Linked DNA regions of Ovis aries. The protein of the gene in region 7 interacts with the protein of the main gene of each other region in a biochemical or structural test. Links are inferred from orthologs where the notes say so. Each region holds a gene or a part of one and is shown on either strand. Other genes may lie near its edges.

Region 1 (4,435 bases), on a different chromosome or scaffold from region 7:
CCAGCTGCTCCCCAATGGCCAAGATCACATCACCAGGTCGTAGACCAGCCCTATGGCAAAGGATAGAGAGATAAAGGAAGAACTAGATGGCCCACTTCAAGGGCGCATACACCCCACCCATCTCCACCTCCTAACGCAGCCTCTCCCTCACCGGTGAGCAGGGGAGTCCAGGATGACCTTATGGATGAGCACACCATGCTGAACATCAGGGAAGCTTGGTTCTCGAAGCTGTAGTTCAGCAAGGATGCTGAAAGGACACAGATCACTCTGTTGGTCACAGGGCACTCTCCCCATTCGGGGTTTGCCTCACATCTTTCATCAGCACACCGACAAGCGTGTGAACAGGACGTGCACTAGATCCTCTTGATACAAAAACAATTCACTTTTTGCCTTCTAGCAGTTAGGAAGCAGAATGTGTATATAAAAGGTAACATTCCAAATGACACACAGGGTTAAATCAATAGCACTAATGTCATTCTAGAATCCTAAAAGCAGCTATAACTTAGGAAGTGCTATAACTTTAGCTTAACCTAGAAGAATCAATCTGATATTAAACTATATAAAACAAGAACAACATAAAAACACGGGATTAGGAAATCAAGTTGGCTGGAACAGAAAATACTCATAGGGAAGCCACATCTGGAAGGTTGGGTATTTATTGTAAATCTAAGCAATAACAGGATGGAAGGTATGCAAAATAGAGTGAGGTGAGAAAAATCAAGATAATGAGAGAGGAATGAGGCAACTCATCTTAGATAAAAACAGAACTAAGAACGAAGCTCAACAGAACTGCCAGGTACCCACCACTGGTTACACTGATGGCCCTACGTGTCACTACCCCTAAAGCTCATACCTGGGAGTCAAGGTCAGCATCATCACCCCAATGTAGCGGCGCTGGGACCCACTGACTCCAAACCAGGAATCTGTGTTAGAAGGACAAATGAGCCCCACCCAGGTATATCCTTACTTCCCCTCCTCCTCCCAATTGACCCCTCTTCCAGCAAACCCTCCCCACCCCTGCCACTAAAGAAACCCGTTTCCCCAAAAGCCAGGCTTACTCTTCTTTTCTCCACGATGCAGAAACTCTCGAAGGCGATCAGAAGGGATGGCAAAGGAGATTCCAGATGTGACCTTCATGGTATTCACCCCAATCACCTCCCCATCCTGTTGGGACACAGCCCACTATTCTCTAGCCCAGACAAATAATAGGAGATGGGGGTACCTGAGCAAGAGTGGGAGGGAGTTTTGGGGGAGATCTAGTTGGATTCTGGGAGACAGCCAACAAGAAACTGCTCAGAAACTTGACCAAACACCAGTGAATTAGGGGAAACCCACCTCTTCCCATACTGACCTGAGATAGGGATTCTTGGAAAGGATGTCACACTCACCAGGTTAACCAGGGGACCTCCAGAGTTTCCAAACTGCAGGACAAGGAGAAAATATGGCAGAGATCCAGGGACTCTATGCCTCGGGGCACAATCAGGATGTAGACACTTTCTCCAAATCCTCTCCTTTCCCAGCCCGTGAAGGAGTGGCCACATTTTTTGCAACCCAATCCCAGTATATAGGCTCATCCACCATCTATCACAACTGGTGCCTGTACCACACACCCCTCCCCTCTCTCCCAACCTAGTCTCATTTTTCTTATATCAGGACGCACATCAATAGCTGCATCAGTCTGGATATACTCCACATTGGTTTGGGGAAGGCCCAGATCTTTGGCTGGACGCTGAACAGAGCTGACAATGCCGGAGGTGATTGTGTTCTGCAGTGCAAACGGGCTTCCCATAGCAACAACAAACTCCCCTTGCCGGACATCAGCTGAGCGTCCCAGGCGCAGCGTAGGGAGAGGCTCCTAAGGGAGAATGGGTACAAGAGACCTGGCATCTGGAGATGTGAACAAATTCACAGTCCCAAGCAGACATGGCCTGCCCCGACCCCCACCTTGGTCTGAATCCTCAGCGTGGCGATGTCTGCCACGGGATCCACAGCTGTGACCACGGCCTCATACGTGTCGCCGCTAGGCAGCCTTACACGGACTCGGCGCCGATCAGCCACCACATGGGCATTGGTAACGATGAGTCCATCGGCAGCCACCACGAATCCTGAGCCATTCGAGATAGGGACTTCGCGGCCCGAAAAAGGGTGCCTGGAAAAAGGGGGGCGGGGGGACAGTACAGATGTGAGGAGGCTCAGACCCATCCTTCTCGCCCGCCCTCTAGCCCGCGGCTTCGGTGCCTTAGTGTTTACCCCCACCATTACCGGCCCAAGATCTCGATATAAACCACGGCAGGGGCCGTCTTCTCCACCACGTCCGCGATGAAGTTGTACTGGCTCCGGGGAGAGGTGGGCGGCGAGCCAAGGACCGAGGCGAACACAGCCGGGGGACCCCGCCCTCCGCCCCAAAACAACAACAGCACCGCCCCTCCAGCGCCCAGCGCCACCGCTAGCCACACGCGCGGACGGGTTCCGGGAGTTCCGGAGCCTTCCGGAGTCCGGGGATCTGGGGTCCCAGCGATCAGCCGTGCTCGGAGATCCGAAGTCCAGGACCTCAGGCATGTCCGTGGTTCAGGGACCCCCACAGACAACCGGGCCCTGAAACTGGGGGTCCCATAAGTCACTCGGGTCCGAGGGTCAGGAGTTCCTGACGTCAGCAGGGCCCGGAGGTCAGGGGTCAACAGGGGTCCCTTTCCCCAGAGACCCCCACCCAAAGCCCGCCATCCCGGGAGGCTCCAGCCAGCACCCCGCCCCGCCCTCAGTGCAGCCATCAGCTCCGCCTCGGCGGCTTCCTCGCCCGCCCAGCGCAGAGGCGGCGCCCTAGACGCGACCAGGAGGGCAGCTGGACGCTGAGGACGCCGGTACCTGAAGTCTCCAGAAGTGCACGCTGGGACCCAGGATTCCGGGAGGCCAACTCCGCCCCCGCCCCGCGAATGCCGGGAATTGTGGTCCCCGCGGGACGCGAGTTATGAGGTGGCCCACGGGTCCGCGAGGCATGATGGGACCGCTAGCCCTTCCGGGGCGCCTCAGAATTTCAGGTCCCGGCACCCTGGGCGGATGCCCGAAGACTCCGCCTTCCCAAGAGCCCCTGCGGCGGGGCGCAAAGATGGCGGCAGCGGCCAGACAATCCTAAAGCAGCGGCAATGGAGCCTCCGTCGTCGCCGGGGCCGGAGCGGCTCTTTGATTCGCACCGGTAAGAACCCCGGCGGGAAGAGACCGACTTCCGCGTCCACTTGGCCTTCGGCGCCCAATCACCCCGCCTCTCGCCCCCAGGCTCCCGGGTGACGGCTTCCTGCTCCTCGCGCTACTACTCTACGCTCCAGTCGGGTTCTGCCTCCTCGTCCTGCGCCTGTTTCTTGGGATCCACGTCTTCCTGGTCAGCTGCGCGCTACCAGACAGTGTCTTTCGCAGGTTCCGACCCGGGCGCTCGGGGAGGGCTGGGGCTGGGCCTGGCCCAAGGCCAGGTAGTCACCACTGCCTGCGTTCGCAGGTTCGTGGTACGGACCATGTGTGCAGTGCTGGGGCTCGTGGCCCGGCAGGAGGACTCTGGACTGCGGGATCACCGTGTCAGGGTCCTCATTTCCAACCACGTGACACCTTTCGACCACAACATAGTCAACCTGCTCACCAGCTGTAGCACCGTGAGTTAGGGAGGAAGCCGAGAGTGCCACGGAGTGGCTCCCTGGGGCCCAGCTCAAGGCACCCCTCTCCGTGTTCGGGTTTCCCATGGGGACCACAAGATACTGACCCTTACCCCGACCTTGCTTTTCTACCCATATGTCAATTTTTCTCACTTCACAGCATTCTTTTCTTCTTGCTTTCTCTCCTTCCGGTGCCCAGCCTCTACTCAATAGTCCCCCAAGCTTTGTGTGCTGGTCTCGGGGCTTTATGGAGATGGATGGTCAAGGCGAGTTGGTGGAGTCACTCAAGAGATTCTGTGCTTCAACAAGGCTTCCCCCTACCCCTCTGCTACTATTTCCCGAGGAAGAGGCCACCAATGGCCGGGAGGGGCTCCTGCGCTTCAGGTAGGTGAGCACAGGTATCTGTCTCCAACTGGAGGTGATCAGGCTTGGGGGCCCTGGGGTTTTCACAGCCCTCCCCATTACCTTCCTAGTTTATTTACTTTTTGCCCACTTTTAGTTCTTTCCCCTGAATCTGTTTATTTCCCACATTTCTATTTGTACAGTGTGACAGTATCTGTTTTAAGTCAGGTATGAGCTGCTGACTAGATTGGCTAGAATCCCATCTTACTTTTTTCACTCTTCTAGTTCCTGGCCATTTTCTATCCAGGACGTGGTACAGCCTCTTACCCTGCGAGTCCAGAGACCCCTTGTCTCCGTGGTGAGTGTGTTCCACAGGGAATCTCTGGGTTTGGAGGGGAAGTTTCCTACTCCTGGCCCTGGTTTAGACCTCACTCATGCCCTCCCCTCAGACGGTG
Region 2 (4,132 bases), on a different chromosome or scaffold from region 7:
GCTTAGTGATCTCCACCGTCTGCATGATACGCTCTGGAGAAGGGGGAAACTGAGGCCAGGGCCGGGGCAAGGACCTGCCCACTGGGAGGACATGGCCCATCCCAACCAGCCCTGCTGCCCAGGCTGCCTCACCCTCCCTGCCCCCTCCCCGCCCCCTGGGGCTGCCGGGGGCCTGTCTGTTCTCTGGGAACCAGCGAAGAGCACATTTCCCAACACAGGAAATGCCGGTGGCTGTTGGCTCCGGCCCCAGCCTCTTCTCTGCTCCAGCCTCTTTTCTCGGATTCCTGGAATCCTTTGAGGGGTCAGAGAGGATTCTGGCCCCTGCCCTGCTTCAGCACCCAAGTCTTTAGGGAGCTGGCTGGTGGGCTGCCAGCCTGGACAGCCCTCCGGAGAGACATGGCAGGCTCTCTAGGAAGCCACAGCTTCCTGCATCCCCCAGACCCCGAGTGAGCTCCATTTCTCAGGTCAGCTCTGCCTGCCTGTCCTCATGCTCCTTCCCTTACCTTCTGCACTGAGGAGCTTCCGGTCCCGGTACAGATCTGTGAGGAAGAGGCTGTTGACCAGCGTGGACTTCCCCAGGCCCGACTCTCCTGACGGGGGAGACAGGACAGAGGCACCAAGTCACAGCGGTCACCAAGAGGCCACCCCACTGGGCAGAGTGTGTGGGGGACCTTCTTGCTTATCTCATTGGGAAGAGACTAACCCAAACACAGCACAACTGGAAGCAAGCAGAGATGAGAGCTCATCCAGCCAGTGAGGCCCAGAGAGGATAAGGGATTCCTCAGGGTCACACAGCAAAAAGCAAATGTTAGGAACCTGAGGGTTAAGGGTTCTCTGGACCTTGTCACTGACCCCTCCCCCACAACACATAGGATAAGGACTTTGGATAGGATACGGATTTGGGGCCACCTACAGCTTCTGGCTCTTCTGCAAAAAGGCACAGCCACTTGCTGCTTTCTCCTGCCCTGGCCATCCCCCAGTGGCTCAGACAGTAAAGAAGCCGCCTGCAATGCAGGAGACCTGGGTTCCATCCCTGGGTTGGGAAGATCCCCTGGAGAAGGAAATGGCAACCCATTCCAATGTTCTTGCCCAGAGAATCCCATGGACAGAGAAGCCTAGCGAGTTACAGTCCATGGGGTCACAAAGAGTCGGACACGACTGAGCAACTAACACCCATACTCCCCCACACACACAGACCATCCCCAGCTGAAACGCCCCTTGCCCAGCTCTGCCCGGCCCCTGCTCTACCTGCCACCATGAGGGTAAAGTCAAAGCCTTTCTTCACAGACTTCCGGTGGACTTGATTGGGGAGGGTCGCAAAGCCCACGTACTCCTTGTCATCCTAGAGGATGATGAGAAAGCAGAGTGCATTACGGCAGAGGCAGAAGGACCCCGGGACCCAACGCCAGCCTTCTCCCCGCCTCTTGGGTCTTTGCCCAGCCTTCCAGGATCACTGCCACACTCCTCTGAGGCCCCAGGTGGGGCCACCAGCTGGGCTCCTGTCCCTGCTGACTGTCGGGTTCCAATGCATGGGGGGTGCGGGGGTGACCCCACAGAGCTGGGGCCAACACAGGACAGAGCACGTCTCCAGCCACGTGTGGATGCACGCACACACACACACACATGCACACACGCACACAGGCACACGCACACACTTCTGGGGCTCCCTCAGCTCCCTCCCCAGGTCCTCCTGCATCAGCCCACGGCACAGACGGGGCTGGAGGCTCTACCTCGGAGGAGTCATAGGGATCGAGCTTGCCCCACGGGCTGCGGGGCCGGGCTGAGGGGCTGAGGGGGGCTGAGGCAGAGAAGTACTGCTGGCTGTCAGAGGGCTGGGGCCACGAGGGGGATTTGAACTCCAGGTCATCCTGGCAGAGGTCTGAAGCCTGGGGCCTCGGCTCCTGGATTTGGGGCCTGGGCACCAAGGTCTTGGCCTCTGGTGGGTGGTAGGTCTCGCTTCCTGGGAAATCCGTCACGAACTTGTTCAGTTCTGCGTCATCCGCGTCCTCCAGAAAGCGCTTGATCTGAGGGTCAGGGGCGGGGTGGGGTAGGCGGGTCGGTGGCAGGAAGGGAAGAAGGAAGGAGCAAGACAAGAGAAGGCGAGAGGGAGAGAGGAAAGCACGTGTGGTTAGAAGGGAAAGGAGCTGCACAGGCGGCCAAGCCAGAGGAAGCGCTCGCCACCCTCCCCTGCTCACAGGCCTCCCGGCCCAAGGGTCCGGGACAGCAGGAGAGACCCCAGGGAGGCAGCGGCAGCCCCCGGCGCCCCAGCAGCCGCTCTGGGGACCCAGCAGCTCCGGTCTCCTTGCTCCCTCGCTACAGGGTGCTGGTCGAGGCTGCCCCTCCACGCCAGGGCCAGGACTGCCCTAGAGGCCAGGAAGCCAGGCCGAATGAGCGGAGCAGACAGAGGCATTAGAGCGGAGAGGAGTACGTGGCTCAGGACGGAAGGAGGGTGCAGACCGTCAGGACGGGTAGGGGCGGGAGGCGGGAGGGAGCCCGGGCGGGGAGAAAGGAGCCTCCAGCCCCGGGCGACTCAGGAGCCAGCAGGGGGCTCCTCACCTCCGGCCGCTGCAGCTCTGAGCTCCGGGACCGGGAAGGACCGGGAGCCGACTCTCCCGGAGGTGTTCACTCCGGGAGCGCAGAGCAGCTGACCTGAGCCCCCTGATTCCACACCCTGAGCCTGGGTTCCAGGGGCGAAGGGGAAATGTGCCAGGGATGCTCGCGAGGGACCGAGTGAGGGAGGGTGGGAGGACACTGCAGAAAGCCCCCAGCCGTGAGGGTTGTAGAGGCGGAGGCACCACTGGCTGCGCCCTGCCCCCTGCCCCGAGCTAGGCTTCAGCTGGCAGTACCGGAAGGGGTCTGGCCTCGACATTGAAGCACATGGAGGGTGGGCAGACGGTGGCTGGCTCCTCTGCGGAGACCTGTTCCCCCACCATCTCCAGCTGGGAAGACAGGCCACGTCCCCCTTACTCTGACCCTCAGTTCTAGACCCTGAAGCTTCCTCTCTCCTTTGGGGGCCGGCCCCCTTCGTGGAGTGCCTGGCGGTGCTGGGCTCAGCTCTGCCTTACAATACCCACGTGCCATCCCCAGACAATGGACAAGGGCTGGCTTCACAGGCTGACTCACCCCCTGGGAATCGGCCAAGCTAGTGGGGGCTACCCCAGACCACTGTGGAGTCCCAGACAGGGGAGATAAGGCAGCCACCGTCTTCAGCAGGTTCCCGGCTACAGCGGGAAGAACGGAGGAATGCAGTCCTATGCATTGCCAGCTTTCTGCAGAGGGAAGGGACTAGAAGGGGGCTAGAGGGGAAAGCTGCCTAAGAGCTACTTCTGGGCTATAGCCTCTCAAGTGCCCCTGCCAGCTTAGAGCCACAGTCTCCAGGGCTTGCCTGGACAGGAAACGGGGCGCTTAGCCTGAAACTGGAACCAGTGTGTGGGGGCCAAGTGGCCAGAAGAGGCTGTCCTGAGGCAGGCCTGACCCAGCTGGCCTTTTCTCACCCACAGTATCTTTGGGGGCCGGTGGGGTGACCATTCATTCCGGTTTATGTTTGCTGTTCTAGCAGAATTGCCCCTTTCTACTCTTAAAAGTGTCCCAGCTCAGACGATTAATTATACAGCAACGGGGAACGGATGGGGGTGGGAGGTGGGTGGAGTGTGTGTGACAGGTCTTGTTTTCTGGCAGCCCAGGAGTCTGGGGAATTTGGGGAAATCCTGTCCCTCTGCACAACCCCACAGGAACCCAGAGTCCGTCTGGGGGGCAGACTGAGGGTGGGAGAGAGGGGACATTCTCCGCCTGGTTTCACCAGGAGCACTGAGCCAGAGGGGCAGCAGCGAAGGGAGGAGGGAAGGCCCTGCCGGAGACCCCCAGCCTCCTGCAAACCTTCCAGGAGAGCCGCCAGCACCACTCTTCCTCCAGCGGGCACGGGAGGGACCCACAGGAGCTCCAACCAAGGGGTCAGGACCCCAGGGACCTCATCGGCCCCCGGCTCTGCCACGGAGCCAATCCTTCTCTGCCTTTGAGCCCCGATCCAGCCAACACAAGGGAGAAGACGAGGCAGGTCCACCCTTTCCCAGAGCAGCCTTACCCCAGCTTCAGCCCTCTCCTCGGGGACAGAACTGCCTTGCCGTCCCAGGAC
Region 3 (4,467 bases), on a different chromosome or scaffold from region 7:
AAGTTGGCATATTTAGGGGTAAGGTGTCATAGTGTCCACAGTTTAGTTTTCAAATGGTATAGCCAAAAACACTTCCCACATGGCTCAGTAGTGAAGAAGCTGCCTGCCAATGCAAGAGACACGCAGGAGATAGTGATTCAACCCCTGGGTTGGGAACATCCCCTGAAGGAGGAAATGGCAACCCATCCCCATATTCTTGCCTGGAAAATCCCATGGACAGAGCCTGGCAGACTACAGCCCATGGGGTCACAAAGAGTGGGACATGACTGACTGACTGACTGACTGACTGAGCACACAGGCACGCACGGCCAAAAATAATGTACACAGTATGGCAAGATGCCAATAAATCAGTCTATAGGATTACTATGTGGGTTCTGATATTACCAAACTCCTGTGTACTTAAAACTGTCCTAATAAAAAGTTGGGGTTGGGTTGGGGGGCAGGTGGGAGGGAGCTTTGAGAGCTCCAATTCTACAAGGAAAAATAAAATCAATCTGATACTAAAGCTGGGACTTGTCTAGAACCAAACACAATTCCATTTTACTACAGCATCTATTAAATATAGTTTCCCCTCTGGTAGCAATAAGGTAAACAAGGGATGAAAGTTCCAATTAAAACACTTAAAAGACTGAGTCTACACTGTAATCATCAAATTATTTACAATAAATCTTTAATAGTTATTTCTTTCAAGAGAGATTCATGGAGAGCATGACTAGATAACCATTCTATAATGATATTACATTCAACAAGACTCAACACACGTTTGTATTTTAAGCAAACGACAAATCAATCTGTGAACCATCCACTTCTTAGCTCTATAATTCAACCTTTTCTCTACAGACATTACAAAGACATTCAACTACAAATTTTCTTAAATCTATCTGATAATACATTAAAGGAAATTACAAACTACTACAATTTGGGGCATCAATAGATTTCTGCAACATTTACAACTATGCATGAAATTTAAGTTACTCAAGAGAATTTTATCAACACTTTCTTCTGCAAAGAGAAATGTAAAGGCTATCTAACTTTAACCATCATCAAAGAAACAGAGTATAGGTCAATGCTACATGAGAATTTCAGTTAGTTTATAAATACTCATTAGTTTGCTACATACATACGAAAGAAAACAATCACATCATTAAAAAATAACTTTTACAACACTCTACACATTAAATTCTGGCTCTCCACTCAGAGATATTGCACAAGTTAATGCACAAATTACTAAGCATGCTGTCATTGCCACATAATCCAGAAACAAATTTTGCAATAAGGAAATCTCAAGCAAATAACCCAACTGTGAGTTCCCTGTATGCATCAAGAATAAACTGCACAAATTGTAACTTTTCAAGAAATACGGAGTTTAACTAAATCTATTTCTTCTTTTTGATAAGAGGGGAAATATTTTCTGTTCGGTCAGTTCCAACTCAAAAAAAGAAAAAGGTAAAGGTGCCTAGAGTCACCTTTTAAAAGTAATTTTGGGGGGAAAGAATCAAGAAGATCATTTGGCTAGGCTGCAGCAAAACACACTGAACAACCTACAATAGGGGCATATAAACTCGATCTACTTTTTTAAATATTTAGATTTCACTCCCAAGAAGAAACTTTTCAGGTTTTCTCATTTTCCTCACATATTTATTTTCGCAAGATCTGAACTAGAGAAATACACTTCTACAGAAAAGACATCATATTCGAACCAAGGCTTTCCCAGATTACCAAGCTGCGTGACCTTGGGCAAGTTCCTCAATCTGAGCCTCGATGTTTTCAACCGTAAAATGGAGAGACAGTATCACCGCACTGGGCTTCCAAGGTGAGGTGAAACAATGCACGGTTAAGTATCGGGGGCGTAACAAGTGCTCGCTAAATGGTCCCTAAAGCGAAAGGGGCATCAACCCCAACCACTAGTGCACGACGATACAGCGGGGCAAAGACAAGCACTTTCTCGCTTCCTGCATGTAACATTTCTGCCTCTCCCAAGGACCAGGCGCAATCTTCCTTCCAAAGGCCCGGCGGAGTACGCGTCTTGACAGCTCCACCGCCCAGCGGTCTACTTCGCTCAGACCTGGACTTCAGGACAGGATGCAAGGGACCCAAGGTCCGCCCACCCCAAGCGAGGCAACAACCTAGCAAAATCTCCGCCCCAGGGGCTGCGCCCAGGCCGGTAACGGCCCCCTCCTCACGTCCGGCCCCCTCCCCGCTCCCCCACCCCCACCGCCACACATTTGTGCGGGCGCGCGCGCGCGCTCACACACACACACGGACACACACACGGACACACACACACACACACACACGCACGCACGCACTTACCCGCCGCTCCGCGGGGACGTAGGGAGCCGCAGACCCACCCCTCCGCCCCCGCGCGGCCTGTCACCGCGCCCCCCGGTCGAGGGAGGCTGCGGGCCCCCGGGGACCGGAGGGGCGCACGAGGAGTCGGGCGCGGGCCGGGGGCCAGGCCCGGCCCTCCTTCACATGGAGCCTGCGGCGGGCGCGTGGACCGTGGCGGCCGGCCGGGGCCTCTCGGCGCCCCTCGTTCCTTCTCGCCGCCGCGGCCCCGAGGCCCGCGGGAAGCTGGGCAGAAAAGGAGGAAGCCGCGGGCCGGGTGCCGCCGAGGCCGGAGAAGGGGCGGGAGCGACGACTCCGCGGCTGGGAGCGCCGGGCCGCCCGGTAGTCGTCGTCGTCGTCGCCGCCGCTGCGGGCCGCAGGACCCCCGAACACCGCACCCAGCGACCGCACCACCCTCGTCGGGAGCCGCTGCTGAGGGCAGCCCGGCCGCCACTACACACGGACCCGTGACGTCGGGCGTAGCGCGGCGCACGTCACGGCCGGCTCTCTCGTGCGCACGCAGCCCTCCGCCTGTCGGGAGCGGAACCCGCCGGGGGCGCGCGCGCTCGCTGGAGGCCGAGGGGGCGCGAGTCCGCGCCTGCGCAGTGGCTGGCTGCGCCCACGCACGCCCGGTGGCACACGCCGGCTCAGTAGTGCGGAGATTCCGGGCCTGTGCTCTCACGCACGCGCGTGCACCTCAGTTCCCTCGCGTCTACCGGAGTCCTTGGCGCCGAGACGCCAAAACAAACCTCGAAAATGGTCTCCCGCGTGGGCTTCTGGCAGAGCGAGAGCAGCGGAGTGAGAAGAGGCTGCGACCCACTTCGAGTCCATAGCAAGTCGTTTGCAGGCGAAAAGATTTCGTTTTGGGATCTGGTTTCAGCATTTTTTCCTAAAAGATTTAAGAAATTTTTGTCGACTTGTCACCTGACCGTAAACCACTACCCTGGAGATCGGCCTTCTAAGTTTTACAGTTCACTGTTTACTTCTTGTATGTATTCGAGGTCGGCCCAGCAAGTATTACTTTTTAATTGTTAACAAATGTGGAAATCTCGGCGCAGGAAGATGAGTTGACACTCCACCCCCAGCACTTGTGACAGAGTCTAAAACCCAATCGCTTTCACGGAGTCTTTTCTTCACTCCCCGTCGCCCCGCAGTACTAAGTACAAACTCATCGCATTAGCTTTGGAGGCCTCTGTTATGTGACTGACCTGCATTCTGCATTGTCTCCAGCCCAAACTACTATGATCCAGAGAGTATCTGTCCTGCCCCGTCTCTTGTTTCCTCAAATACCCCTTACAACTTCCTGCGCCATTTCTTCCTTTAGCATCTGCGTGCTTTCTTGGTAGGTTGTGGATCCCACCTGCTTCCTGCCTCATATCCACTTAAACAGTTGAAATAAGAGTGGTGCCCACCCAGAGGAAAGCAGCTACGCAACCTGCGGCCCTGAAGAACAGGGGAGATCGCACCTGTGGGGCAGGGACTGAGGGAAAGGCTGTTCTGTAATAAAATACCTAGATCCCCTTCGTGAAATTTTTATTACAGGCACACTAGCGGTGTTGTCAAAGGAGCAAGAACAGAGATGTTCATTGGCAAGTTTTTGTAACGGTGAAGCCTAGAAACCTAAATGACTCCGACTGAGCGGATAAATAATGGTTCATTTGCTCTGCAGGGAATTAGGCAGCCACCACAAAGAAAGGCTAAATGCTGGAGGACCTCAAAAATACAAAGCCTAATAGAAAAGCACTTTGCTGCCACTAATTTAAAAAGTAGAGTACTTTTAAGCTTATGTATGCAGAAAACCGGTCTTTAAGATGGCTTTTGGTTCTAACGTCTAAGCCTGATATACCACAGAAAAATAAAGGATCTCAATATACTTGGGCAGGATTTAAATCTTAAACGTTTTGTTATTTTCCATGGTTCCTAGCCTGACCATATAGTGACAGTGAAATTGCTGAGTCGTGTCCAGCTCTTTGCGACCCCACGGACTGAAGCCAGCCAGGCTCCTCCATCCATGGGATGTTCCAGGCAAGCGTACTGGAGTGGGCTGCCATTTCCTTCTCCAGACCATATAGTAGTCACTCAGTAAATACTTGTTTACAAAATAATCTCAAGATGGAGATGGATTTTTCTTCATACCTC
Region 4 (4,217 bases), on a different chromosome or scaffold from region 7:
GGTTTTCTGCAGCTTCCAATCGCTTAGCCTCACCCCAGCACCTCTCCAGCACACAGCTCTCAAGGAAATCAACGAAGCCGGCAGTCTGGGGCGAGGACGACCAGAGGGTTGAAGGGGGGCTTCTGGAATGGAGGAAAGAGAATGCAAGCGGGAGAAAAAGGGAACGGCTGCAACAGCCACGACTAGGATATGAGACCACGGAGCCCAAGGACGCCGAGGGTACCCGAGAGGAGGCTGGGGTCGGCAGGGACGCCAAATCACGGCCCGAAAAGGTGGAGGTTACTTTCTGGGGTGAGGATCGGGCCGGGGTAGCCAAGAGGAGGCCATGGCCCACCACTAGCGCGGGCCCAACTGGGCCGCCGGACTACTCCCACTGTGCTCCAGAAGACGGCGGCACGCCGCCTCAGCGACGGGGTGGGTCGTGCGGCAGGAGCCTCATTCGGTCGCGGGAAGGCTCAGGGGCAGAGCCCCGGCCGCCCCCCGGGCCCGGCCCCCCGCCCCGACCAGCCCTCGTGGCGCCGCTCACCGCCTGACGGAGTCCTCGGTGACAGCCTGAAGTCGCAGAACCGCTCCGCGCCGCCTGCTCGCGCCTTCCAACGCACGCTGAGCTGTGATTGGAGGGGAGGCTGGCTCCGCCCACCTCGCGGACGGAGATGGCGGAAGGCCGGGGGTCGCCTGCGGGCAAACTCTAGACCCGTGCGGAGGGCTGCCCCCAAGCGTGTGAGCCCGTGTAAACCTCCACAGTGTTATACTATCCTCTGACACGTTTTATTTGCTAGTTTACCTCAACCAAACTCTGCAGGCGGGTTCTCTGAGCCTGAGATGGGACCCCGAAGGTTCTGAGTCATGCACTCTAGGCCACGCTCCTGGCCTTGCTCAGGCTCTGACTCTAACCCTGCCTCCGTCTGTGGCCCCTGGGGTCAAGCCCCTTGTTTGGCCCGTCTATGCCGCCGTCCGCACAACTGCGAGTGGGCATGGCGGCCCGCAAGTGAGGCGGCCTGCATCTGCCCCACTTAAATATGGCGGCGACACCGCCATCCCCCTCCTCCCTGGACTCGCGGGCGTCCCCGGAAGTGACCGGCCCGGCCCGCACGAACGGAAATACCCGAACCAAGCCGAAGGAGCCCGATCCCCAAGTCCCAGCGCGGAGCAACGTGGGGCGGTGGCAGCGGCTGCGCAAGCGCACAGCGCAGGCCGGGCGGGAAGAGCCGAAGCGGGCAGGCGACGGAAATAGCCGAAGCGGTGGGGCGCCCGAGGCCGTTGCGGACCTCCGCGCCGAAGCCGCTGCTGCCACGGAAGCCGGCCCTCCTGTCTAGTGCACGGCCATCGCAGCCCCCGCCTCCCCCTTCCGCCTCGAGCCGCAGAGCCCTCGCGAAGAGAGCGAGTGACCAGGCCCAGGGACACGGCTTGAGGACCCCGCGTCCGCAGCCGAGCCTGAGGACGCCGGAGCGGACGGCCGGGAGGAGGGAGCGGCGGGTGGGGGCGGGGCCGAGTAAGCCCGAGAACAGCCGAGCGGGCCCGAACGCCGCCGAGCGGGCCCGAGGCGCCGGGCCAGGCCAGAGCCGACTACGGGAGCCGACGCGGGCCGCGCGGTGGGCGCGGAGCAGCGCGGCAGGCCCGGCGGGCGGCGGCAGCAGCCGGAGAGGCCGCGGCGGCGGGTCCGAGTGGCGGAGGCGGCGCGGGCGGCGGCGGGGGGCCGGGTGGCCGGGGTCCCGGGCCCCGCAGCGGCGGCAGCGGCGGCGGCGGCAGGATGATCAAGCTGTTCTCGCTGAAGCAGCAGAAGAAGGAGGAGGAGTCGGCGGGCGGCACCAAGGGCAGCAGCAAGAAGGCGTCGGCGGCGCAGCTGCGGATCCAGAAGGGTAAGGGGAGTCGGGGGATGGGAGTGGAGGTCGGAGGTCAGAGCCTGGCTCCGGGTGATACGGGAGTCAGGTGTGGAGTAATGCGGCTGCCAGGGGTCAAAGGTGTCAGAAACGGGGAGGCCGCGGATGTGGGGATCGGAGACCAGGGCCTGGGGGCCGAGGGGCCGGGGATGGGGTAATATAATCACCAAAGTGGTCGGAGGTAGGGGGGCCGAGCAGGGGGCACTGAGCGTGTTCGGAAAGCTAGGAGTCTGATACTAGGGACCGAGAATCTGAGGGTGGCAGCGGAAGAGGGAGACCGGGAACTCGAGAGTCGGGGGGTCAGATGGGAACCTGGGCGACAGGAAGAGGAGATAGGGACAGTGGGGCCGAGGATTGAGGATCGGGGTGGGAGATTTAGTGTATTAACGCTAGAGTCACTGGGAATCAGAGTCAGACCTGGTGAAGTGGGTTCTGGGGCCTGGGTGTCGTGGGTCTGGGTGAGTCACATGTCAGTTTGGGGTGACAGGAGGAGGGAGGGATGCTGGGTACCAGGGATTATAGAGATAGGAGTAGGGTTGGGTTTAGACCATCCTGCTAGAGATGCTGGAACTCTTATGCTCAGAATAGTATAGGGTAGGAGGCTTGGGAACTCACAGATCTGGAGGTCAGATGGGATCCTGAGTTTAGGACGACAAGCAGAGAGGAGTGTATGGACAGTGGGGGCCAGGGACTGGGGGGGGTGGTGATTTAGGGTGAGGAAGGGAAATAAGATCCTTGCATCTGCGCAGACAAGTAGAGACTCCTCTAGAAAGCGGAGGTCGCGGTCAGGATGCTGGATTTGGGGTGGGACACACAGGAGTGGGAACATGTAGGAGCTGGGCTGGGGGACTTACGACTGGATTCAGAAGAGTTAGAGCTTGCCCCCCAGGAGTTCCAGCATATCTGCAGTGTTCCATAGATACGGAAGAGCCTGCCTGGAGACGCGGAGCAGAAGGAGCAGGGAGAGGGAGGAGGGGGTGGCCCACTGCCCAGGACAGAACTGGGGTCCTGGGTAGAGGTTATGGAGGCTCTGCTGGCACCTGCTCTGAGCACCCCCTATCTCCCCCTTTCCTGGCCTGTTTCCCTTCTCTGCTGTGAAAACCCAGACATAAACGAGCTGAATCTGCCCAAGACGTGTGACATCAGTTTCTCAGATCCAGACGACCTCCTCAACTTCAAGCTGGTTATCTGTCCTGATGAGGTGAGGGCACGCTTAACTGGATTCTCAGGCACGGCAGGTGACACCACCTCAAGTTGGCTGGTTCACCTGCCGGGCCTTGCAGAGTGGGGTTCTGACTCCTCTCCTCTTCCTTCACAGGGCTTCTACAAGAGCGGGAAGTTTGTGTTCAGTTTTAAGGTGAGTCTCAGGTGTGCAGGGGTGGCTCCCTGGGCTGAGGAAGCAACAGCTGAGGCCCCAGCCAGGCACTGCTGTGCACCTATCCACTTGCCCTCTCTTCTCCTGGAGCCAGGTGGGCCAGGGTTACCCGCATGACCCCCCCAAGGTGAAGTGTGAGACGATGGTTTATCACCCCAACATTGACCTCGAGGGCAACGTCTGCCTCAACATCCTCAGGTGAGGGCACTGGCCCTCCACTACGCTGCCCAGCCCTGCCTGCCAGGCCCCCTTCATGACCTTGCACTATACCAGTCTCTTTCCCTTCCCTTCCCCTTGTGGTCTGTGTGTCCCTCTGTCTCTTCAGCTCTGCGTTTTCTTCCTCATGGCTTGACCTTGGCTTTCTGGCCTGTGCTTCTCTGCACCCTCCCGCTAGCATTTCCCGATCGTGCTGTCCCATGCCCTGGGCCTGACCTGTCTGGTCCCAGCAGGGCCTGTGGTGGCTGCCCGCTCACCAGCCCCTATCATGATGCTCTCTGCCCACAGAGAGGACTGGAAGCCAGTCCTTACGATAAACTCCATAATTTATGGCTTGCAGTATCTCTTCTTGGTGAGTAGGGGTGGGGGTGGGAGGGCAGCTGGGGGAGGTTGGCCCTCTGACTTCTGGGCTTGTTGACCTCCTGCCCCTCCCATACCGGCCACAGGAGCCCAACCCTGAAGACCCACTGAACAAGGAAGCCGCCGAGGTCCTGCAGAACAACCGGAGGCTGTTTGAGCAGAATGTGCAGCGCTCCATGCGGGGTGGTTATATCGGCTCCACCTACTTCGAGCGCTGCCTGAAATAGGGCTGGCGCATACCCACCCCTGCCAGGGCCACCAGCCCCGGCGTCCCCTGCAGATATTTATTGGGGGCCACAGGTGGGGGGACAATGGGGCGGCCGGTGGGGGAATCCCATGCCCTGGCCGGCCACCCCTCCCTGCTACCCGCTCCTAGTTTTTTTTTT
Region 5 (3,702 bases), on a different chromosome or scaffold from region 7:
CGTGGGCTGGGCACAGGTCAACCCAGGTGAGCCCACGGTGCCCCATGGAGCTGGGACCATGAAGCTGAGCAGCAAGAAGCATGCAGGAGGGAGTCACCCCTTCTGTGACCCCCAGGGGGACAGTGGCATCTCCAGGAATAGGCCCAGGAGGGACAATGGAAGTGTCCCCAGCCTTGGAGACCCTCCACCCTCCATGTGGGAGCGGCATATTTCCTGGACGGCAGCCTGCTCTGCCCTGCATGGGCCACTTAGGGCCCTGCAGGGCAGTGTCCAGATATCGGGGTTGTAGTCTGACTAGACCCAAGACTAGGACATGTTGCCAGTCCCCAGGGGCCTCAGTTCCTCTGAGTGTCTGACGGGAAAGTGGGGCTGAGAGGTCCCTGAGCCCCAGGGTCCAGGAAGGGCTCCCCCACCACTCACCTTGGGGTGGATCTTGATGGTGGCGATGTCCGACTTCTTGTCGATGTCCTTGATGGTGGCCTCGTAGGTGTCACCATCCTGCAGCTGCACCCTGAGCTGCTGCCGGCCTGAGACGGTGTTGGTGCTGGACACCACGTGAGCGTTGGTGACGATCAAGCCCGCTTCCGACATGATGAAGCCTGAGCCGCTGGACAGGGGCACATTGCGGCCAAACAGAGGGTGTCTGTGGGGGAGGCAGGTGGGTGGGCTGGGTCAGCCACAGCCAGGGTCTGGGGGAAACGAGCATCCACCAGGCCTTAGGATTGAATCCTGGCTCTGCCACCTATTGGCTGTGGCCTTGGCCAGTCGTTAAGTCTGGACCCATTTCACAGCCACAGAGAGGGCAACAATGGCCTGTGACTTGCCATTTGCGAGGACGAGATGTGAGGCCTGTGAATGTCAGCTCCATGACAACGCAGCAGGCACTTCCTGCCCTGGAGCCAGACAGACCAGGATTGTAACCTTGAGTCCAATCCCCACTTACACCTGCCTGACTGTGGACAGCCACGGGGCGGACCCCTCTGGGCCTCAGTCTCCCCATCTGGGAAATGGGCCGATACCACCTGCTCCACCAAGCAGGTGCAGGCAGTCGGTCAACAAGCCATAGGGAAGACAGGAGGATGTGCACACAGCTCCACGGGACTCAGCAGGCCCTCGGGGAATGTCAGCTTCCTAATCTCCAGCTGCACAGAGAGAGGGTCATAAACACTGAGGGGCCCATGCTCCCACCTCCCTCCGGCGCCTTGGTTGCCTGCCCTGAAGCCCTGGAAGGCTCAGGGCCTTCCCGGGGGAGGGTCGCCACTGTCTCTGGGGCCGCAGTGCAGGGTCTGGACGGGGCAGGTCAAGCATGCCTGAGGCTGCTGGACAGACACCAGCCATAAAGGGTCTAACTGTGTGTGTGTGTGTGTGTGTGTGTGTGTGTGTGTGTTAGGGGGCGGGGATGGGGAAGGGCGGGGAGGAAGAACAGAGAGGATCTCTGGGAAGCGCAGAAACGCCACCTCCCCAGCAGGTCAGGGACTACCAAGGTCACCAAGAGTGCCCACGGAGCCAGAGACCGAGTCCCACCGTGCTCACGGCCGGCCTACAAGAGAGAGAGGCCCTCCAGTTCACAGGTGGGGAAACAAGGCCTTCAGCCGCCTGGGTCAGTGGAGGTGGTGTCAGCCCCTTTCCTGGATGAGGAGACTGAGGCTCAGAGCGGTCAGCCTCCTGCCCACAGTCAGTTCACAGGTGGTGACCCAGGCCTGGTGACATGAACCAGCCTCCCGGGTCAGGGGAGGTGGTGTCAGCCCATTTCCTGGATGAGGAGACTGAGGCTCAGAGAGGTCAGCCTCCTGCCCACAGTCAGTTCACAGGTGGGGACCCCGGCCCAGGGACACGAACCAGCCGCCCGGGTCAGGCAGGGGAAGGGCAGAGCCAGGCTTTGACCTGGGCAGCCTGGCCACTCAGCCCCTCCAGTGGTGACCAGAGCATCTGTCTGCTCAGGCCTGAGACCAGCTCCAGCCTCCACCCGGTTCCGTGCAGTTCCCTGAGCAGTGGCTGCACCCAATTTTGGGGCCTGCCGGGTGCAGGATTCGCCTCGGGTCTGAGGAAGAGCCCCAGGCAGTCCAGGGCCCCTCCCTGTGCACTCGGAGGTCACAGCCGGAGGTGCCTGTGCTGGAGGACCACGCTGCCCATGTCTGGGATGGTGCCCACCTCGGCCTCACCCTGCCCTCACCCCAAGACTTCAGCCTCCAAGGAAGGCTGGACCCACCATTGCGGCCTCCCACTGTAGTCAGCAACTATCTGGTTCAAGGGCTGGTGTCTGGAAGGACGCTGCCCCCCAACAACCACCTGCAAGGCCAAGGACGGGCCATTCACACATTGGGCTGTCGTTTCCTTAAAGACACATCTCAGGGTCTGGGGCCCGTGGGAAAGGCAGTGAGGGGTCAGCGTGTTGCAGGGGGATGGGCTTGGCTCTGAGATGCCAGAGACCTGGGGGGCAGCCCTGAGCCTGGGGCAGCTGCCTGGGCCACTGTTTCCACATCCAGAAATGGGAACATGGGACCCTGCCTTCCTGACCCGTGGGAGGGCCTCGGAGTACGGTGCAGCTGCTGTCGGTCAGCGCTGAGGTATGGGCTGCTGGGCCTGGCTGTCTCCTCCGGGAGGCGGCACCAGGCCGGGGCGATGGGAGAAGCTCAGGAGGGCAGGAAGGGCAGCCCGTGTGGCGACGGGCACAGAGCAGGTTCCGAGGACCGTGCTGAGCTCGCGCCAGGCATCTGCTCAGCCCCTAGGCCTCCAGAGGTTGGGGGCGGGATGCAGGTGCTCCCACTGATCAAGCTCCACGGCCAGCGGGCAGGGGCGGGGTCCCGTGCCGGGGTCAGGAGTCAGCGTGGGAGCGATTCTGCCCACTCCTGGCCCCCTGCTCGGGGTGGGGTTGGGGGCGGGTTGCCTCATCCCCTGTGCTTTGGGGGGCTTGATGACGCTGGCTGCCCCCACTGCTTGGGGAATGCCGTGAAGTCAAGTCAAGCGAGGCCCCGGGGTTGTGGCCGAGGCCTTGGCGATGGTCCCCTCGGGCAGCATGGCATGCAAGAGGCTGGCTCCCTCTGACCCCAACAGGATGGAAGGGGAGTGTCTGACCCTACGTGTCCTGTCTGGGCCCCTGCCAGCCCCCTCCACACACAGCGGCCGTGAGGTTAAGACAGAGCTGCAGTGTCGAAGTTGGTCTGGGAGGAGACCCCAGGATTCTGTGGGAGCCGGGGGTTTGCAGGGCGGTATCAGCTCAGACAGCCCTCGTGACCCTGCAGCAGCCGCTACAGCTGGGTCAAGTGCGAGCTGCTTTCTGCCTCCTTAGGCCACTTGGTCAGGGTCGGGGAGGGGCGTCCTCCCCAGGGCAACAGCGACCAGGAAGTCTGAGCAGGGTCCGCTGGACTCCACAGCCACTCTCGTCTCTACTGGCCCCCTTCCCCCCAGTGCTGGGATCGAGTCTAGTCTGGGCCCAGCAGATGGTGGGGTGGGGGTAGGAGGGGCTCCACGCACCTCAGGAAGAGCTCTATGTGGACCACAGCCGGCGCGATCTTCTCCACCACATCGGCAATGAAGTTGAACTTGTACCGTGGGCTGGTCAGCTGGTGGAGACCTGTACTGGCAGGAAGAATCAGGTGCATTAGTGAGGCCCAGACCTCCAGGCACAGGGCTCGCTTCTCCCAAGGGTGGCGGATGCCGGGCTTCCCCACCTTATATCTCCAGGGCCGCCGGGAGGCTCCG
Region 6 (3,702 bases), on a different chromosome or scaffold from region 7:
CTGGTGGAAAACCGTAAGCCTTGACTACTTACTTTCTGCTTGTTGGGGAGGGCAGAGAGCACACCACCCACCCACCTATCCCCTGCCCTGATGGGCCTCTCCTGGGGAAGGGTGTCTGCCTCTCTAGGGGTACCCCTGGGGCAGGTTGCAATCCCGTTGATGGCTGCTTGGCTGCACTCCTGATCGCCCCTGGGCTCCCTCTGAAAGGGGAAGGAGAAGGTTTGGGGTTGAGGTTGTGATCCCTGGGCTCTGAGAGGGAAGGAGCGTTTCACATGTCGGGCTTCCCAGCTGGATGCCATGGATCTTCCCTGCCCTGGGGGTTCCTGTGGGTTCTAGCCACAGCTGGCACTCCTATGACCTGAACCAGCAGGCAGACCACACTGGCTCACCCCTGGCTCTGATGTGTACTCTGTGATTCATTTAGGGACAGGGGGCAAGCGGATTTTCTTCCCTAATACTACTGGCTCCTAGAGGAGGGGTGGCATTCAAGCTGGGCCCTTTCCGGGGCCAGAGTGCTAGGGATTGTATAGATGGCGGGAAAGGTTGTTCCAAGGCAATGAGGGATCAGTGACGTGGTTTGGAGCAAGGATCTATTAGCAGGGGCAGAAGTCAGGGCAGGACTATGAAGCTGTCTCCGCCCTGGTGGAACCAGGTCAAGGAGGTTGGGGTTACCAGGTTTCCTAAGATGAGGGCAGGGGACACCTGGAGGCAGGCAGGCCAGGCAAGGTTTAGGGCCAGTCAGGAAACTGTTAGAGGACTGGAGATGGCAGAAGCGTGGTTCTCCCCCTTTCAGAGCCTACTCTTTCCATGTGAGTGCTGATGGGCAGATGCAGCCTGTGCCCTTTCCCCACGACGCCCTGGCAGGCCCTGGCATCCCCAGGCACGCCCGGCAGATCAACACTCTCAGCCACGGGGAGGTGGTGTGTGCGGTGACCATCAGCAACCCCACGCGCCACGTCTACACAGGAGGCAAGGGCTGCGTGAAGATCTGGGACATCAGCCAGCCGGGGAGCAAGAGCCCCATCTCCCAGCTGGACTGCCTGGTGAGGACCCCAGGGCTGCGGGCATCCCTGCTAGCTGTCATAGGAGAGCTGGGGCCTGGGCGGCACCCCACTGACCTGGCCAGGTGCAGCCCTGTATCGACTGAGCGACTTCGGGCAACCTGGCAAACCTCTCTGAGCCCTGCTGTCACTGTCTGTTAAGGGGAGATGATGCTGGTCTCCAGGGGTCTGTAGAGAAGTGGAAGTTTAAAAAGTCAGGAGGGAGCAATGGGGTTGGCCTGGCAACCGCGAATAAGGGCAGGAAGTGAGCAGATGTGGCGAGGATGCTTGGTGTGGCTGGATGTGACTTTCCCGGTCCCTGGGAGGAGGGGTGGGCGGCGCTGAGCACTGCCCCCTCCTCCTTCAGAACAGGGACAACTACATCCGCTCCTGCAAGCTGCTCCCCGACGGGCGCACGCTCATCGTGGGCGGCGAGGCCAGCACGCTCACCATCTGGGACCTGGCCTCGCCCACGCCCCGCATCAAGGCTGAGCTGACGTCCTCGGCTCCGGCCTGCTATGCCCTGGCCATCAGCCCTGACGCCAAAGTCTGCTTCTCCTGCTGCAGCGACGGCAACATTGCCGTGTGGGACCTGCACAACCAGACGCTGGTCAGGTGAGGCACGGGAGGGGCAGGGCTGTCCTCGCCCTGGGGAGGCCGCGCTGGCGTCGTGGCTGTGACGGCCGGTCAGAGGTGCTGTGGGGTGGCCGGGGTGGCACAGGCGAGGGCGCCCAGGCGAAAGGACGGCGGCTTGTGCCAGGTGTCCAGCAGGGGCGGGAGGGCTCTGTGGACCAGGAGCTTGCACCAGGCTCCGGGGAGGGGGCCCTGGAGCAGACCCCGCAGGGCAGAACTCGGATAAGTTGAGACACGCAGAGATGTGGGGAGAAGAGGCGGCGTCGAGACCGCTATGGAGGAGCTTAAGTGTGGGGCCTCGGGAGCAAAGCTGCTGGGTCTGAGCCCTGCCTCCCTGTGACCTCATGAGAGTTCTGGCCCTGGCTGAGACGCTCAAGTGGGAGAGGAGCCCTGAGAGACCGTGGCCCTCAAGTTTCCTGTTCTGCTGGGGGAGAGTTGGCATCTCCCTGGGACAGCTGTCAAAACAGCAGGCAGTGCTTCCCTGGGGCTTACCCTCATCCCTGCCTGGCCTTCCTAGGCAGTTCCAGGGCCACACGGACGGGGCCAGCTGCATAGACATCTCCCATGACGGCACCAAGCTGTGGACGGGAGGCCTGGACAACACTGTGCGCTCCTGGGACCTGCGGGAGGGCCGGCAGCTGCAGCAGCACGACTTTACCTCCCAGGTGTGTGCCTGAGACCCCCCCGCCCCATCCACTGGAGCAGCGTGGGGCCTTTCCTCCCTGGGTCTCAGTGGCTGGTTCAGGGGACCAAGGGGTCCTCACACGTGGTCATTACAAATGGACCTGAGACCAACCTGAGTCATCTAGGAAGCCTTCCCGGAGGAAGTGGCCATGAAATAGAATCCACAAGGCTTTGGAGTTGGTCGCATCTGCCCCTGCTGCTCAGACTTGATACCCAGCTCCTCTGCCATTGAGCATTTGGCCTCAGTTTTCTCATTCCTGGGATGGGAATAGTCATAGCTACTTCATGGGTCTGGTGTGAGTACCTGAAATGGTCCCTCTGAAAGCCTTGGCTGTAAGCCTGGCTATAGAAAGCATTCCATAAATGCTAGGTATTATTTTTTGTTATTGTATTATTTGTGTTAATATTTTAATCTTACATGTTTAATACATTAGTGTTTTATTTACTCATATTTTTCTTAAGGAAAGGTAAAAGTCACCGAGACAGAGAATAACTTTGAACGTGAAATGTCTGTGTCACCTCTGAGTTTGAATCCTGGCTCTGCCACTTTACTTTTTAGAGTCAGCAACCTCTCTGAGCCTCAGCTTCCTCACCTGGGAAGTTGATTGTGGATAAAACATGAGATCCTCTTCCCTTAATGGGGAGAGAGGGGGACTTTGCATTGCACATGGCAGGTGGGGAGGTGCTGGGGGAGGGAGTCGGTAAGACGCTGAGCCCACAGGGTTCCTGAGCAGGACCGTGGGAGAGCGCCCCTCCTCTCCCTCCTCCTGTCCCCCTGCCCCGCTGTGCTTCTGGAGGACACTGATCTCTGCCCGCCCCATCCCTGCAGATCTTCTCGCTGGGTTACTGCCCCACCGGGGAGTGGCTGGCCGTGGGCATGGAGAGCAGCAATGTGGAGGTGCTGCACCACACCAAGCCCGACAAGTACCAGCTGCACCTGCACGAGAGCTGCGTGCTGTCCCTCAAGTTCGCCTACTGCGGTGAGCCTGGGAAGCGGGAGCCTGGCCAGCCCTCCGCGCAGGGGTGCGGCTCAGAGCTTAGAGAAGGGCCAGGGCCCCGCTAAAGGAGCACGGTCTCAGAACTGGGCTCCTGACCCAGACCAGTACCCCCATCCCGCCCCGCACCTCAGGATGCAGATACTGCCACAGGGTACCAAGCACCTGTGACACCAGGCCAGAGCCAGACTTTGATGGCCTGGGGCAGAGGAGCAGTGTGCCCAGCCCTGCAGGCAGTGCCTACAGGTGATTTGGACCATGGGCTTTGGTGGCCACAGCTCTGGACTGAAGTGTGTGCCGGCCCACTGACTAGCTGTGCAGCTTAGGACAGTCCCAGCCTCTCTGAGCCC
Region 7 (3,702 bases):
AACTCTTTATCTATTGAACAGCTTCCATTTTCCCATTCCCCTGGCAGCCACCATTCTGCTTTCTGTCTCTGTAAATTTGACGACTGTAGGCATCTGATCCAGTGTCCTTTTTTATTCATTGTAGCATCACATGCAAAAGTAATGTGTAAATTAATTGTTTTCCTCTTCATGATTTTTTAGGGGATTACAAAGGTACTTTTAAAAAACACTTCGAAGGGGTAGTTCCCTCACCCCCAGGACTGGCCTGGGGAAGAGAAACTACCTGAGAGGAGGGAACCCCGAAAGAGACCTGCTGTGGACTCCAGGCAAAAGGAATGCCTGGGTACTGGGAGCTGTAAGCATGACGGGAGGAAGTGTAGCGGGACAGGCTCCAGGCACACAGGCGAAGCGCAAGAAGATTGGACAAAAAGCCACAAAGTTACTTGTGTTCCTTCTTTTCATTTGCCTTTTTCAGCTTCTACTGCATGATCTCCGAGTCGTTCTGCTTGTGGACCACAGCAGAAAGCTTGTCATCTCAGTGTTTTCTCTTAACCAAGTCACTCTGCTTTTCCATATTCCGCTGGCAGGCTGGCTTTTGCTGGTTGCCACAGTCTTGGTGATGGCAGGAATATACACTATTCTTTTTTGGTCAGGTGCATCCATATAATATAAATCAGTTTATAATGCCATCCCTTTACTTTTGTTGTTTGCTGTGCCCCGAATGCCTTTTTCCTGTTTGTATAGCTCATCTCATTCCCCACTGCACCCCCGATTTGATTCCCTAAACCCATTTCTTGAACTTGTCCTTCAAGGCTCAGCTCAAAGGTCACTCTTTGAAGTTTCCCCAAAGACCTATAGCACACTTTGCAGCTTTCTCTGCTCTCTCTGTTAAAGCATTTGTAACGTTGTTTTGGAACTTTTTCTGTCCCCTTCTATCTGTTAGGCTTCTTGAGGACAGACAGTTTATCTTTCTTATCTCTGTGTTCCATATTTGAGTTTTGAATTATGCCCAGGAGGTTGCCTTTTAAGAAAAAAAAGAAGCAAATAATCCTTTTCTCCATGGCTAGCGAGGAAAACCTTACTGAAGCAATTCTGGTATCTTTTTCCAGGTTAAAACCTTTCACTGGCTCTGGAGCCCTTGGTGTTAAGTCCATACTCCTTCACATGGGTTACCAGATCCTTCATGATCAGGCTCCTGCTAACCTTCTATAGCCTCATGCTATTTCCCCTTCACATTCTCTTCCCAAACCTTACCTGTGCACTTGCAGGCCTCATTCTGTTTCTCACCTTGGAGCCTTGCCTATATCATTTCCTCTGCCCAGAGCACTCTTCTCCCACTGCTCTTGTCCTTCAAGGTCTAAGGCTTTCTCCCTCTTTTAGTTTACTCGTACTTATCCTTTAGGACCCAATTTAGGTATAATATTTTCTGGAAGGCCTTCCCTCTGTGTATACATGGATACACAGCCTTCCTATGTTCTTCATAACACATTGTCATAACTTTAATCATTACATTGTACTATAATTTCCTGCCTACATGTGTTCCTAACTTGTCTATGAATGATTAGGAGCCCAGGATCTATATATTTGTTACTCTGTCTCTAATGCCTAGAACCTAGCTAAGTCTTCCATAAGCATTTGTTGAATAAAATTAAACCACTGTTTCCCAAACTTGTTTTCAAAATAGCGTTCCCCAGAATGTTAAGAGATGTCATGAAAAAGGAGCTCTGTAGTTAAATAGGGAATGCATTTTGAATTTCTAAGAGGGCATATATGCTTTGTTATGCTGTCCTCAACTTGATAGTCATGGTTCAGAAATGCCAGTATGCTCAACCCCAGAAATATTAGATTGAGTGAATGGGGCCCAGGAATCTATTGTGTGTTTTTTTGTTTGTTTTTTGTTTTTTAATGCCCCTAGTGATTCTCATGTGAAGCTAAATTTGGAAACCACTGGTATACAGTGATCACAAAGATTGTTAAAATATGTAATACATTTGGAATAGTGCCTAGCACATAGTAGAAGTGCTGTATTACTTTTAACTGCTGCTATTGCTGATGTTGTTGTCATAGTTATATACGATTGTGAAACATATTTTTGTGCCACATTTGTTAACATTTCTCAAAACTAAGTTTGACAAAGGCTGAATTAAACAAGAACTTCAGTGCCACCTGTATATTGATGAGGCCCAGGTTTCTATCTTTAGCCCTGATTTCTTCTGACCTTAAGACTTAACTCTCCGATTACCTACTGGACATTTTTATATGGATGTTCTGCAAACACCTCAGAAATATCTTAAAAATCCCAAACCTGTACCTCCATTTTTATTTCCTATTGGCACTGCCATCCCCTTGTCAGCCATGCTAGAAATCTTGAAATCAACTTTATTTCCTCTTTCTTCCTCATCCTTCACATCCAATCACTAGATCCTACTTGTCCCATTTCATAAGTAGCCCTCCACTTCCATCTCTCCATTTCTGGAATAAGCGATGCCCTTTCAATATGCTGCTACTTTTACCTAACCCTTGCTTCTCTGCTTAGCAAATTTCTGTTTTTAAATGTTACTCTTCCACCTCCCCACTTCCCCACCTAACAGCCACCAACCCGTGAAACCTTCCCCACCTAACCTGAACAGAAGAACTTGTTCTGTTACCTTGTCCCAGAGCACTTTGTAATTTTATTACAGAACTTATCACTGTGTACTTTGTGCTTACTTCTGTAGCCTCAGCTCACGTCCTTTTCTCCCACTAGCCTGTGAACTGCTTAAGAGTAGATGCCATGTATGAGTTATCCCATCTCCTGACACTTGATCAGCGTCCGGCACATAAATTCACTGTTTCCAACTCAGAACGTCTAAAATTAACACTTTTTTTCTCTTTGAACAGACATTAGTACTGAAGAGCAGCTAAGGCTCCTACGAGAGGAGAAGCTTTGCAAAATCTGTATGGATAGAAATATTGCTGTCGTCTTTATTCCTTGTGGACATCTGGTCACTTGTAAACAGTGTGCTGAAGCAGTTGACAAGTGTCCCATGTGCTACACAGTCATTACTTTCAAGCAAAAAATTTTCATGTCGTAATCTAACTACAGTAGGCGTCTTATGTTCTTATTACCCTGATTGAATGTGTGATGTGAACCAACTTGAAGAAATCAGCATTGAATTCCATTAGCATTTGCTGCCAAGTAGGAAGAAAGTGTAAACTGCGATGTTATAGTTGGCAGTCTAAAATTTGAATTTCTGGATTTTTCAGGATGTTAACTGTATTAGCTGTTCTATTTTTCTCCCACTGTTATTTAATTGAAACCCTAGACTAAGAAGCATCATATTGTAACTGATCACAATGTATGTTTTATAGTACACTGACTTAGTTTTCTAAATGTAAGTGAATTAATCAATTGAATTTTTCATTCATTTTGGATAGGCTTAACAAATAGAGCATTCTGTATGAATGGAGATTAGAGTTAATCTCCCCAATCACATAATTTGTTTTGTGTGAAAAAGGAATGAACTGTTCCACATTGGTGGAAAGATGGAGATGATTTTTAGATGTTTGTGTTTTAGGATTTTTGTCCATTTTCTTTTAAATTATACACATGTACTTGGGTGGATGATTTTTTTTTTTAATGATTTTGCCATTGTTAAAAGGGTATTTAATGATTGAATACCATTTAGCCTACATGTACTGACATAAAAAGACATCAGAGGTATATTAAGTGTAAAATCAAAT

Evidence for each region.
Region 1: the proteins of XIAP (region 7) and HTRA2 form a complex in vitro, tested with the Homo sapiens proteins (10 studies listed by BioGRID and IntAct, with this or other methods). The link is inferred for Ovis aries from reciprocal best matches to the Homo sapiens genes XIAP and HTRA2.
Region 2: the proteins of XIAP (region 7) and SEPTIN4 form a complex in vitro, tested with the Homo sapiens proteins (4 studies listed by BioGRID, with this or other methods). The link is inferred for Ovis aries from reciprocal best matches to the Homo sapiens genes XIAP and SEPTIN4.
Region 3: of the proteins of XIAP (region 7) and MAP3K2, one has a biochemical effect on the other in vitro, tested with the Homo sapiens proteins (2 studies listed by BioGRID, with this or other methods). The link is inferred for Ovis aries from reciprocal best matches to the Homo sapiens genes XIAP and MAP3K2.
Region 4: the proteins of XIAP (region 7) and UBE2M form a complex in vitro, tested with the Homo sapiens proteins (2 studies listed by BioGRID). The link is inferred for Ovis aries from reciprocal best matches to the Homo sapiens genes XIAP and UBE2M.
Region 5: of the proteins of XIAP (region 7) and HTRA3, one has a biochemical effect on the other in vitro, tested with the Homo sapiens proteins (3 studies listed by BioGRID and IntAct, with this or other methods). The link is inferred for Ovis aries from reciprocal best matches to the Homo sapiens genes XIAP and HTRA3.
Region 6: of the proteins of XIAP (region 7) and TLE3, one has a biochemical effect on the other in vitro, tested with the Homo sapiens proteins (2 studies listed by BioGRID). The link is inferred for Ovis aries from reciprocal best matches to the Homo sapiens genes XIAP and TLE3.

The regions. Positions count from the first base shown.
Region 1 is NC_056056.1:96,382,395-96,386,829, reverse strand, and holds the start of HTRA2 (serine protease HTRA2, mitochondrial), read right to left. Parts: upstream 2,865-4,435; 5' UTR 2,769-2,864; coding exon 2,263-2,768; intron 2,150-2,262; coding exon 1,945-2,149; intron 1,856-1,944; coding exon 1,661-1,855; intron 1,422-1,660; coding exon 1,389-1,421; intron 1,165-1,388; coding exon 1,059-1,164; intron 924-1,058; coding exon 854-923; intron 248-853; coding exon 152-247; intron 51-151; coding exon 1-50. Other genes in the region: lipid droplet-regulating VLDL assembly factor AUP1, read left to right, coding at 3,141-3,190, 3,271-3,408, 3,488-3,638, 3,838-4,022, 4,266-4,338, 4,430-4,435.
Region 2 is NC_056064.1:9,172,081-9,176,212, forward strand, and holds the start of SEPTIN4 (septin-4), read right to left. Parts: upstream 2,984-4,132; 5' UTR 2,934-2,983; coding exon 2,847-2,933; intron 2,025-2,846; coding exon 1,731-2,024; intron 1,343-1,730; coding exon 1,249-1,342; intron 591-1,248; coding exon 504-590; intron 34-503; coding exon 1-33. UniProt on the Homo sapiens protein: Filament-forming cytoskeletal GTPase. Pro-apoptotic protein involved in LGR5-positive intestinal stem cell and Paneth cell expansion in the intestines, via its interaction with XIAP. May also play a role in the regulation of cell fate in the intestine.
Region 3 is NC_056055.1:118,121,529-118,125,995, reverse strand, and holds the start of MAP3K2 (mitogen-activated protein kinase kinase kinase 2), read right to left. Parts: upstream 2,804-4,467; 5' UTR 2,314-2,803; intron 1-2,313. UniProt on the Homo sapiens protein: Component of a protein kinase signal transduction cascade. Regulates the JNK and ERK5 pathways by phosphorylating and activating MAP2K5 and MAP2K7. Plays a role in caveolae kiss-and-run dynamics.
Region 4 is NC_056067.1:66,428,672-66,432,888, reverse strand, and holds the start of UBE2M (NEDD8-conjugating enzyme Ubc12), read left to right. Parts: upstream 1-1,219; 5' UTR 1,220-1,750; coding exon 1,751-1,859; intron 1,860-2,986; coding exon 2,987-3,081; intron 3,082-3,198; coding exon 3,199-3,237; intron 3,238-3,349; coding exon 3,350-3,453; intron 3,454-3,704; coding exon of another isoform or gene 3,705-3,759; coding exon 3,760-3,823; intron 3,824-3,917; coding exon 3,918-4,058; 3' UTR 4,059-4,217.
Region 5 is NC_056059.1:115,314,376-115,318,077, reverse strand, and holds part of HTRA3 (serine protease HTRA3), read right to left. Parts: intron 3,575-3,702; coding exon 3,475-3,574; intron 644-3,474; coding exon 421-643; intron 1-420. UniProt on the Homo sapiens protein: Serine protease that cleaves beta-casein/CSN2 as well as several extracellular matrix (ECM) proteoglycans such as decorin/DCN, biglycan/BGN and fibronectin/FN1.
Region 6 is NC_056060.1:16,936,233-16,939,934, reverse strand, and holds part of TLE3 (transducin-like enhancer protein 3), read left to right. Parts: coding exon 1-13; intron 14-793; coding exon 794-1,043; intron 1,044-1,407; coding exon 1,408-1,655; intron 1,656-2,190; coding exon 2,191-2,338; intron 2,339-3,186; coding exon 3,187-3,337; intron 3,338-3,702. UniProt on the Homo sapiens protein: Transcriptional corepressor that binds to a number of transcription factors. Inhibits the transcriptional activation mediated by CTNNB1 and TCF family members in Wnt signaling.
Region 7 is NC_056080.1:107,880,260-107,883,961, forward strand, and holds part of XIAP (E3 ubiquitin-protein ligase XIAP), read left to right. Parts: intron 1-2,859; coding exon 2,860-3,053; 3' UTR 3,054-3,702.